Drosophila melanogaster: one gene and its partner. The protein of the gene in region 1 interacts with the protein of each later gene in a biochemical or structural test. Each region holds a gene or a part of one and is shown in the gene's direction. Other genes may lie near its edges.

Region 1 (4,466 bases):
TCGATTCTAAATGAATGTAAAATGATATTATTTCATCGCATGACAGAACCAAGCATTGTAAAATTCATATAACATCAGCTACAATGCGAATTACTTTTACATTTTTGCCAACGTCAATTGTCAAGTTATTTAATTGTTCGAATAGACTGATTCAGGTTAATTGAAAAACGGCTATAAAACGGCGGCATTTCGTGTTTCTGTGTATAAAAAACCGGTAAAAATTCAAAAACCCAGTTTCAGTGTGCCCAGACATCAAGTAAGTATTTTAGTATTTTCAGTTTTAGTTTTAGGTTTTAAATATTTGGCAATTGCACCTCCTTTCGATGTATCGATGTACCTACAAAGTATCGATAGTGACTGTTGCCAGTATCGCTTTAGTTATTCCATCTCTAAGCATCAGGCTTTGGTCACATTACCAACCTTTCATAAAAAATAAAAAACAAAACAAAAAGGCGATAAAACGCAATTAAAGCAACTGTAAAAAACATAACAAACTAAAACCACTGATAAACTAAACCAACTGCATTGCACACACCCCGCAAACAAACGAAAATGTGATGTTAAGTGTGAGTAAAAACCGATGGAAAAGCGAAAGGAGTGTGCGTGTCGAGCATGTGCGAGTGTGTGTGTGTGCGTGCGCGTGAAGTGCGAATAATGTGTGATGGAGAGAGGGCAAGAGAGCGGCGCCAGCTAAAAAATATAAACAATTAAATAAATATGTAAATTTATATATATGGATGTATGGCATGGAAGTAGTTATCCACTAGTTACGAAAAGAGAAAAACAAAAGAACTAGTTCTCTTTTCTTTGAGTGTGCGTGTGTGGTTGTGTGGGGGAGAGGATTCCAGCTGCCTTTGTGTGTGAATTTCATTTAGTTTTTTTTTATCTGCTATTATTTTGTTGTGCGGATATTTTTTAACCCTTGTTAGCCCTTTATTTTGCTGATGTTTGCGTTAGTGTGTGTGTGTGTGCTTTCAACCCCCAAAAACTTCACCACCCGTCGCCGCCCGGCGAAAAATCACTGAGCAATAAAACCACCCACTACCCACCAAATGAAAAGACCAAAAAAAAAACGAAGCGAATTATTTCCCACTGAAAATTTTTTTCTTCCAAGGTGATGATGTTTTCTTCCTCTTGCTCCTCATCTTTCCAGGAGCAGCACTCGAAAAAAGGGAGAAGCAAGATGGAGAAGGAGAGTGAGTGAGTGAGAGAGAGCACAATTCAGAAACTGTCGAAATAAAACGGCTTCTCCACCTCTCACGCCTTTTGTCGCCCCCCGCTGCGGGCCCCATCGCACAGTGGGACGCGCAGACTAGGTGTTCTAACAAATTTCGAATTTTCACGCTCCAGTGAACTCATAGGCACTAAATTAATGTTTTAAATGTAATATTAATGAGTTTGTTGTTTTATTATCACCTATTTCGCTCCACTGTGCAACGTATGACGCGCTAGCGTCCCCTCTTTCGCTCTCGCGCAATTCGACCATTTTCCATCCTTCTCGCTCACGCCGACTGCCTTTTGGCGTATTTCTTTTGTGCCTATGTATTTCCGCTTGTTAGGTCAGCTCTCCCCCTGCTCCCCCGCCCAACAACGTCCTCTTTTTGTGCTCCCTTTTTGGGCTCCAAGTTCTGGCAGTCCTTTTAGGAACAGTTGTGGCCGAGAGAATAGGGAATTCGTTAAGACGGCCTTCTTTTGAAAGTAGATGCTCGCTTGTAGTATGATCTTAAAATGCGTGTACTAAGCCCCTATTAAATTAATAATAATAATTAAATGTTGTTTTTCATTTCTTATTTAAAAATAATCTGTTTAAGGAAAAATTAATAGATGTTGAGTAAGATGTACCTGATAATACTATTTCATTGACCCCTGCTGTATATTTTGGTTTTGTGTTGTGAGTGAGAACGAAGTTGTGTGGGTGTTTAAAAAGGGTAAGAAAGGCAAAAAAAAAGGCGAAACGGAGTAGGACAAGAACCAAAAAGAAAAACGAAATAAAAGTAACGTTGTTTTGTGTGCGGGCCAACCGAAAACCAATTAACTTTTTGAATATTGCACGAAATTGCGCGCCATCGCCCGTTCGTTTACCAACACTGACCGCCGAATGCAACCCTGCGCAACACTAACTCACACACACGAGCGTAGTAAGACCCAGGGAGGCAAAAATTCACACACAAGCAAATATTTTTTTGTTATTATTGAACAGTGTGGAAGAACAGCGCGAAAGGGAAAAACGAGCTTGCGGATGTGAAAAGTAAAGCGGGTGTGTGGAAAACGGCAACAACAAAAGGCGAACGGGGGAAAGCCAAAGAAAAACTACTCGCGGGGGAGCAAAAATCGGCTGGGAAACACGGACGAAGAAGAAGAAGAATAGGAATCAGAGTAGGAGAGCAAGCAGCAGCAGAAGAAGAAGAAGCAGCGCAGCCGCTAATTGTCTCGTCGTTCGTTGTTGTTGCTGCCTTGCAAAAAAAAAAACGAAACCGAAAAAGAAATGGCAAAAAAATAACGCAAACAAATTCAATAAAACGAACTAAACAATTAGCAAGTTAATAAACGCAACATAAAACCAAAGGAACGAACAGCAGTGGCAAAAGAAAAAGGCAAAAGAAGAACAATCGAAAAGGTCAAAAAGTGTGAGCAAGGGAGAGGAGAGACTTCCCCAAAAAAAACCGAAAGAAAAATGGAGCAAAAGTGAAAAACCTGTGAATGTGTGTGTGTGTGAGAGATGGTGAGAGAGAGAGTGGGGGGAAAAGCTAAAATTAATTTTTTGTTTTTATTTCCAAGGCGCGCACTGGTGTGTGTGTGTGAGTGTGGGTGGAAAATCGGATTTCGTAAAACGCATTTAATTGTTAACAGCAGCAAAAACGTGTATAATTTACCTGATTTTTCTACATCTCACTTACAGTTAGTAATCAAATTGCACAAAATGCGAAAGAGGAGAGCAGATCAATAATAATAATAATAACAAAAAGGAAAGGAGCAAATGTAACGACTTCTGTGTGTGTGTGTGCGTGCGTGAAGCAAACAACAAAAAACAGCGCAGAAACATTTTTAACTAAAATGTGGAAAGCAAGCAAGGAAACAACAAAAGCTAAAACAACAACGACAGCCAGGAGCAGCGCAGCCAGCAGCGACGTCGACGCCAGCGTCGCCGCATGGAAAGCACAGAAAACCGCATGACAAGGAAATGGAAAATTTTTGTGCAGCCCAAAAAACCAAATGTGAACATAAAGGAAAGGCCGACAGCGAGGCGTTGAGCAAACGAAAAACAAAACAAAATACAACAAAAATACAAGAACGTGTGTGTGTGTGCGTGTGTGTGTGTTTTCCAATCGTATAATCGAAGAATAATAGTAATAATAATACGAGTCAAGGAAGAAGCGGCATTCGAAAGAGAACAGAATAAACGGAGGAAGAAACAGATGTAATAACTAAAGCAGAAGAAGAAGCCCATCAGCAAATCTATGAGAAGAAGAAGAAGGCGAAGAGGAAGCGGCAACTTGAAAAATATACAACAATTATTAATTATGGCAGCTTCGACAAACAAAATTCTGTAGAAGAGGAAACAACAGACGCCCAAAGGCAAGATTTTTAAATAGGGAGTAGTAACATAAAAGAAAACTTTGGCAGCCAAAACGACAAGAAACAAACAAAAAATTGTAAGTAACAACAAGCCCTGCTTTTTCCAAACAAAAACTAGTTCGTTTCGATGAAATTATCACTTAATCACCAAAGTTTTGTATAGTTGTTCCTCTCAGTACTGAAAGCATTTCGCTTTCATCTAGTTTTATTTAATAACCCGTACTTTAAGACATCAGAAACTCGAATGGACTTAACTTGTTTGTTAGATTTTGTGGCAGAGTTCATAATATTGTTCTATTTCTCAGGCTAACAATATATTCAACATAGCTGGAGGTTTACGCCAAACACAGGCGTCGCATCCCCAACAGCTCAAGAGAAGAACGTAAGTTATTGCCCACCAGCCATGGCCGAATGTGAGTCTAATCCAAATGTTTGTACGATTTGCAGATACAAATAAGGGAAATATACATCAATTAGTATATCGCTGCCATGGCCAGCAGCGCGACGAACGTCGACGGCGGCAGCGGGACGTCGACGGCGCTGCCATCGCTCTTCCCCGCCGTTGGCGCCGCTGCCGGTGTCAAAGATATGGACGGATTAATGGCCATTAACGATAGCGCCCTATCGCAACAGATCGAATTTATACTGCAGGATGCTCCCATGGAGCAGGACGACGATCCTCACCAGCATACGCATGTGCATCACCATCATCACTCGCAGCATCATCCTCACTCGCATTCGCATCAGCAGCAACAGCAGCAGCATCTTCAGCAGCAACAGCAGCAGCAGCAACACCATCATCCGCATCATCATCTGAAGCTGGACAACAGCAGCAACAACCACCCACCGACCGCAGCAGCAGCCGCAGCTGCCGTAGCAGTAGCAGCAAC
Region 2 (4,466 bases), on another chromosome or scaffold:
CCTTGATTCTCATCATGCAACCCGATTTCTTCGGAGTCGGTAAAGTAACCCAGAGAATTTCTAGGTATATGAAAAGGAAGGTTCCACTCGAAAACGAATGGAAGCCTTGCTTGTCAAGTGTTATTCGATCTTTTGGTGTTCCCATTTGCTACACTTCGATTTCAAGGGCTCAGGCAATTTCCGATTTCGCGGCCATCACATTGTCCGCTGAGAAGAGCAAGATTGCCATCGAGAGAGCCTACAATATAATGGGCAATCCCTATCGTGAAATATTGCCACTGCACAATCCAGCACCAGAAGATACCGAGAGGATTGTGTATGCCAATAACTACCTCGAGGTTATTTTCACAAGCAAAAAAAAATGCCAATGACTACCAAAGACTATATAAGGCTTAGTTTAGTACACATAATACCTTCGACAATACTGACATTTGTTATTAAACAGCTGCTCGTCAAATACATATTCTAAGTTACCTGATTACTGCCACAAGTATCAAGTTAGATGCATTAAAACTACCCAAGACTGTAGAATAACTACAATTAGTTGATAATATCGAGAACAGTATTCAGTTTCGAACGCGGCTTTGAATGTCGCCCTTTAATTTAAACATGTTTGTTTATCCATTTACATTTTTGGTAATTCTTTAAGAATAAATTGTTTAACTAGTTGATAGCCTACATTTGTAATAAGTATAAATGCTCAGTTTCTCAATGCAGCCACTTAACTCTACGAGGAAAACGGTTACAATAACTTCAGAAGGGTTCTTTTTAGGATGTGGAAGCTTTGATCTAGAATGTCTTCTTGGAAATGACAACAATTAAATCGATTAACCAATAGAACGACTGGTGGAGATCACCCTCGCACAAGTACGGCGCCTTGGTCCATGCCTCCACGCGGTAGCCACAGTTCTCCAGCAGCTCCATAAACCTGGCCGCCTCCTCCTCGAACGACGCCTGTCGCCCGTTGTTCTCCAGCAGCGGGCGCAGCGGCAGATGCGAGGTATTCGTCTCCACGTAGTGCATGTAGGGAAGTACTAAGGCCACAACTGCTCGACCATTGGGAGCTAGTGCCAGGTGAATGTCCTCGAGCAGCTTGAATGAATCGAAGCAGCGGTCCAATACGTTGAGGCACAGAATCAATTCCAGGTTCTGCAGACCGTCTATCTCGGTGATTACGTTGAAGTTCAGCTTCTTCAGCCGATCGCGCATGGTCCAACTGGCCTCGGTGGCGAAGACCCGCAGCCCGGCACTTCCGCTCAGCTCGGAAACGGTGTTGGCCACGCGCAGCGAAATCTCACCGTCCCCGGCTCCGATATCCAGCAACGTGACCTACGATATGATGGCAGATGAGTAGTGGTCAAGACTAAAGGCTTTTACTCATCTTACAGGTTCTTGACCGCTGGCAGGCTGAAAGCCGCCTGCTACTAGCAGCTTGCGAAACTGTTCCTCGGACAGTATGAACATGGAGCCGCGCTTCAGGAACCCGTTGATGTCCGTCTGGGTCATGAAGAACTGCAGGATTGAGCGAGCCAGGGCGTGCCACAAGTGGGTCCAGATGTTTGCCGAAAGCGCCTTGGTGCGCTCCAGCCAGCTCACGGTGGTGGCATCCGGCTCGAGCGGCACGAACTTGGACTGGAATCTCGGCGGCAGCTCGTGGTTCAGGCAGTACCACTGAAATGCATCCAGAATTTAGGAAAAATCATATTGTTTCGGGATTTCGAGTTACCTTCCGAGTGTCTATGTCCTCCAGAGAGTTGTCGTTGTGGAATTTGGCGTGGATTACCCTGGCCAGGGTGCCGCGGGGACGATACACAGCCATGCTAACAGAATAGTCTATAATTGTGCTTTTATTTACATTTTCTACTTCTGTGTGTTTAACTTAGTTGTGCCATCATTTTTCCAGTTTGAAGAACTGGAGTACGGTATTTTTCCAGGGCTGGATTGCAGAGTTGCACTTTGATCAGCTGAATGCGATTGGTAAAGGTATATCGATATGTAGGCGTGACAGCCTAATGTAAGTGTATTATTATTTATAATGTATAATTTCAGAAATTAATTAATTAATTTGTAGCCGCATAAAAAAAATTAAAATATGATGTTATATTTGATTTGCCATTTAAAAGTATAAATACTTTGTAATATAAGGAAGACTTTTATATTTATATCTAATAATTGTACTACTCGCTCTGCAAACGAACGCACATCGTTCTCGACAACATTGACGCCTGTTCGATAACATTGGGGCGCGATGCACGTTGACATTTTATTTAGCTGTCGAGTAATGTATACAAAATAAGCGGCGGCTATTTTTTGTTATTTTAATGAAACGCATCAATCCGCGATGAGCACGAACGTTGTTGTGAGCATGGAGGAGAAGGCGGTGGCCGACGACCTGCCGTACTTCCCGGAGAAGTTTCCGGGCAAGGTGTGCTGTTTATGCAATCTCGGCGAGAAGAGTGCCTTGGGCCAGGGCGAGATTCTACAACTGAAGGCGCCCGCGCCCGCCGAGATCAAGGATAAATATCCGACGGATCGGCTGAGGGAGGACGGATCCAGGCTGTTATACGGGCCTAAGCAGGCCGCTTCTAGTTCGGGCGATTGTCACTACGAGCTGGACAAGATTGGACAGCCGGACGTCGTGCATCCCGCCGAATTTCTTGACGAGGGGTTCGTCTACGTGCACCGCATGTGCATCATGTGGTCGCTGCGCAAAAGTCAGATAAGCGATGCAGATGGCGCGTACTTTGCCACCCACTTCGCGGAGTTCCTGGAGCAAAAGTGCAACTTTTGTGGACGCTACGGGGCCTCCATCAACTGCAAGATGAACTGCCGCCAGGTGCACCATTGGCCGTGTGCCGCCGCTGCTGGGTGCCTTCTGATCCTCGAGAGCTTTACGGTCTTCTGCACGGAACATTTGAGCCAGGTGCCTGTGATATGTAAGTGATTCTTGGGCAGCAAACTCTCACAGAAACTAATGGAAACAAATGACTTACAGGCAGCGACAATAATGTGGAGTGTCTGTCCTGCTCCTCGCTGGGGGATCTGTCCAAGCTGATCATGTGTAGTACCTGCGGAGACCACTTTCATTCGACCTGCATTGGTCTGGCCAATTTGCCGGGTAACTACTGTCAAGTACCATCGTACCATTGGTTTACATGTTTACATGTTTAATGCTTCCATAGATACGCGTTCTGGGTGGAACTGCGCCCGTTGCACAAAATGCCAGATTTGCAGGCAGCAAGACTCGAACGACACCAAGTACGTTAAGTGTGAGCAATGCCAGAAGACTTACCACGCCTCCTGCTTGCGACCAGTTATCTCAGCCATCCCCAAATATGGCTGGAAGTGCAATGTAAGCAGATATTGACGGATATTAAGTGTTATCCAATACTTATGGTATTTATGTTCCTTCTAGCGCTGTCGCGTCTGTACGGATTGTGGTTCAAGAACTCCTGGCGGCGGCAGCTCCTCCCGCTGGCATAGCCACTACACAATCTGCGATTCGTGCTATCAGCAGCGGAACAAGGGCTTTTCCTGCCCGATTTGCCAGAAAGCGTACAGGGCAGCATCGCACAAGGAAATGGTCAAGTGCAGCTGGTGCAACAAGTACGTTTCACTCGCTTCTGCCTGATTAGTCTTGCTTATTATATGGATTCGTTTCAGATTTGTGCACAGTACGTGTGACGAAGAGGCGGATTTAACGGCCTACCACAAGAAGAAGGAGCAAAACCCAGATTACGACTACGTGTGTCCGAATTGCAAGAGTAATTCGTCGGGCCCGGGATCATCCCAACAGACAATCGACTCGATCGTGCTGTCCGCCATGGATTCGTCGTCGGAGCAACTGAGCCTCAAGGAAATCGAACTTGACCCGCTGGAGGGCAAACCCACAATGGATCCATCGAGCGATGAGCTCCACAAGCTACCCACCGGCAAGAAAAAAGTGTGCCTTACGAGTGTTCGCGGTAGAAGCGGAAAGTTCGTCCTACACCGCATGGGTGTGATGTCGCAGATCAACAAGAAACGCAGCACCCGAGGCAAGGGGCGCCAGCTTGCGCTGCCCACCATCTCGAGCGATCGCTGCCTGAGTCGCAGCATGGAAACAGATCTGACCAGCGACAAAAAGCTGCTGCTCTGCTCGGCGCGGGATAAGTTTATCCAAGCGCAAGACATCTGCGTAATGTGCGGCTCGCTGGGCATTGAGAGCGATTCCGTGATGATCACCTGCGCACAGTGCGGCCAATGCTATCATCCGTACTGCGCCGGCGTGAAGCCTTCGCGAGGCATCCTGCAGAAGGGTTGGCGATGCCTGGACTGCACAGTGTGCGAGGGATGTGGCAAGAAGAACGACGAGGCGCGCCTGCTCCTGTGCGACGAGTGCGACATTTCGTATCACATTTACTGTGTGAATCCTCCGCTGGAAACCGTGCCCACGGGCAACTGGAAGTGCTCGTTCTGTACACTGT

Evidence for each region. The genes of interacting proteins can lie anywhere in the genome.
Region 2: the proteins of CG32767 (region 1) and Lpt form a complex in vitro, tested with the Drosophila melanogaster proteins (one study listed by BioGRID).

What each region holds. Positions count from the first base shown.
Region 1 is NC_004354.4:5,080,673-5,085,138, reverse strand, and holds the start of CG32767 (uncharacterized protein), read left to right. Parts: upstream 1-2,113; 5' UTR 2,114-2,722; intron 2,723-2,899; 5' UTR 2,900-3,653; intron 3,654-3,881; 5' UTR 3,882-3,958; intron 3,959-4,023; 5' UTR 4,024-4,065; coding exon 4,066-4,466.
Region 2 is NT_033778.4:23,896,329-23,900,794, forward strand, and holds the start of Lpt (lost PHDs of trr), read left to right. Parts: upstream 1-2,232; 5' UTR 2,233-2,341; coding exon 2,342-2,936; intron 2,937-2,995; coding exon 2,996-3,118; intron 3,119-3,182; coding exon 3,183-3,352; intron 3,353-3,415; coding exon 3,416-3,606; intron 3,607-3,663; coding exon 3,664-4,466. Other genes in the region: CG17658 (uncharacterized protein), read left to right, coding at 1-371; CG5339 (uncharacterized protein), read right to left, coding at 790-1,329, 1,387-1,671, 1,727-1,819.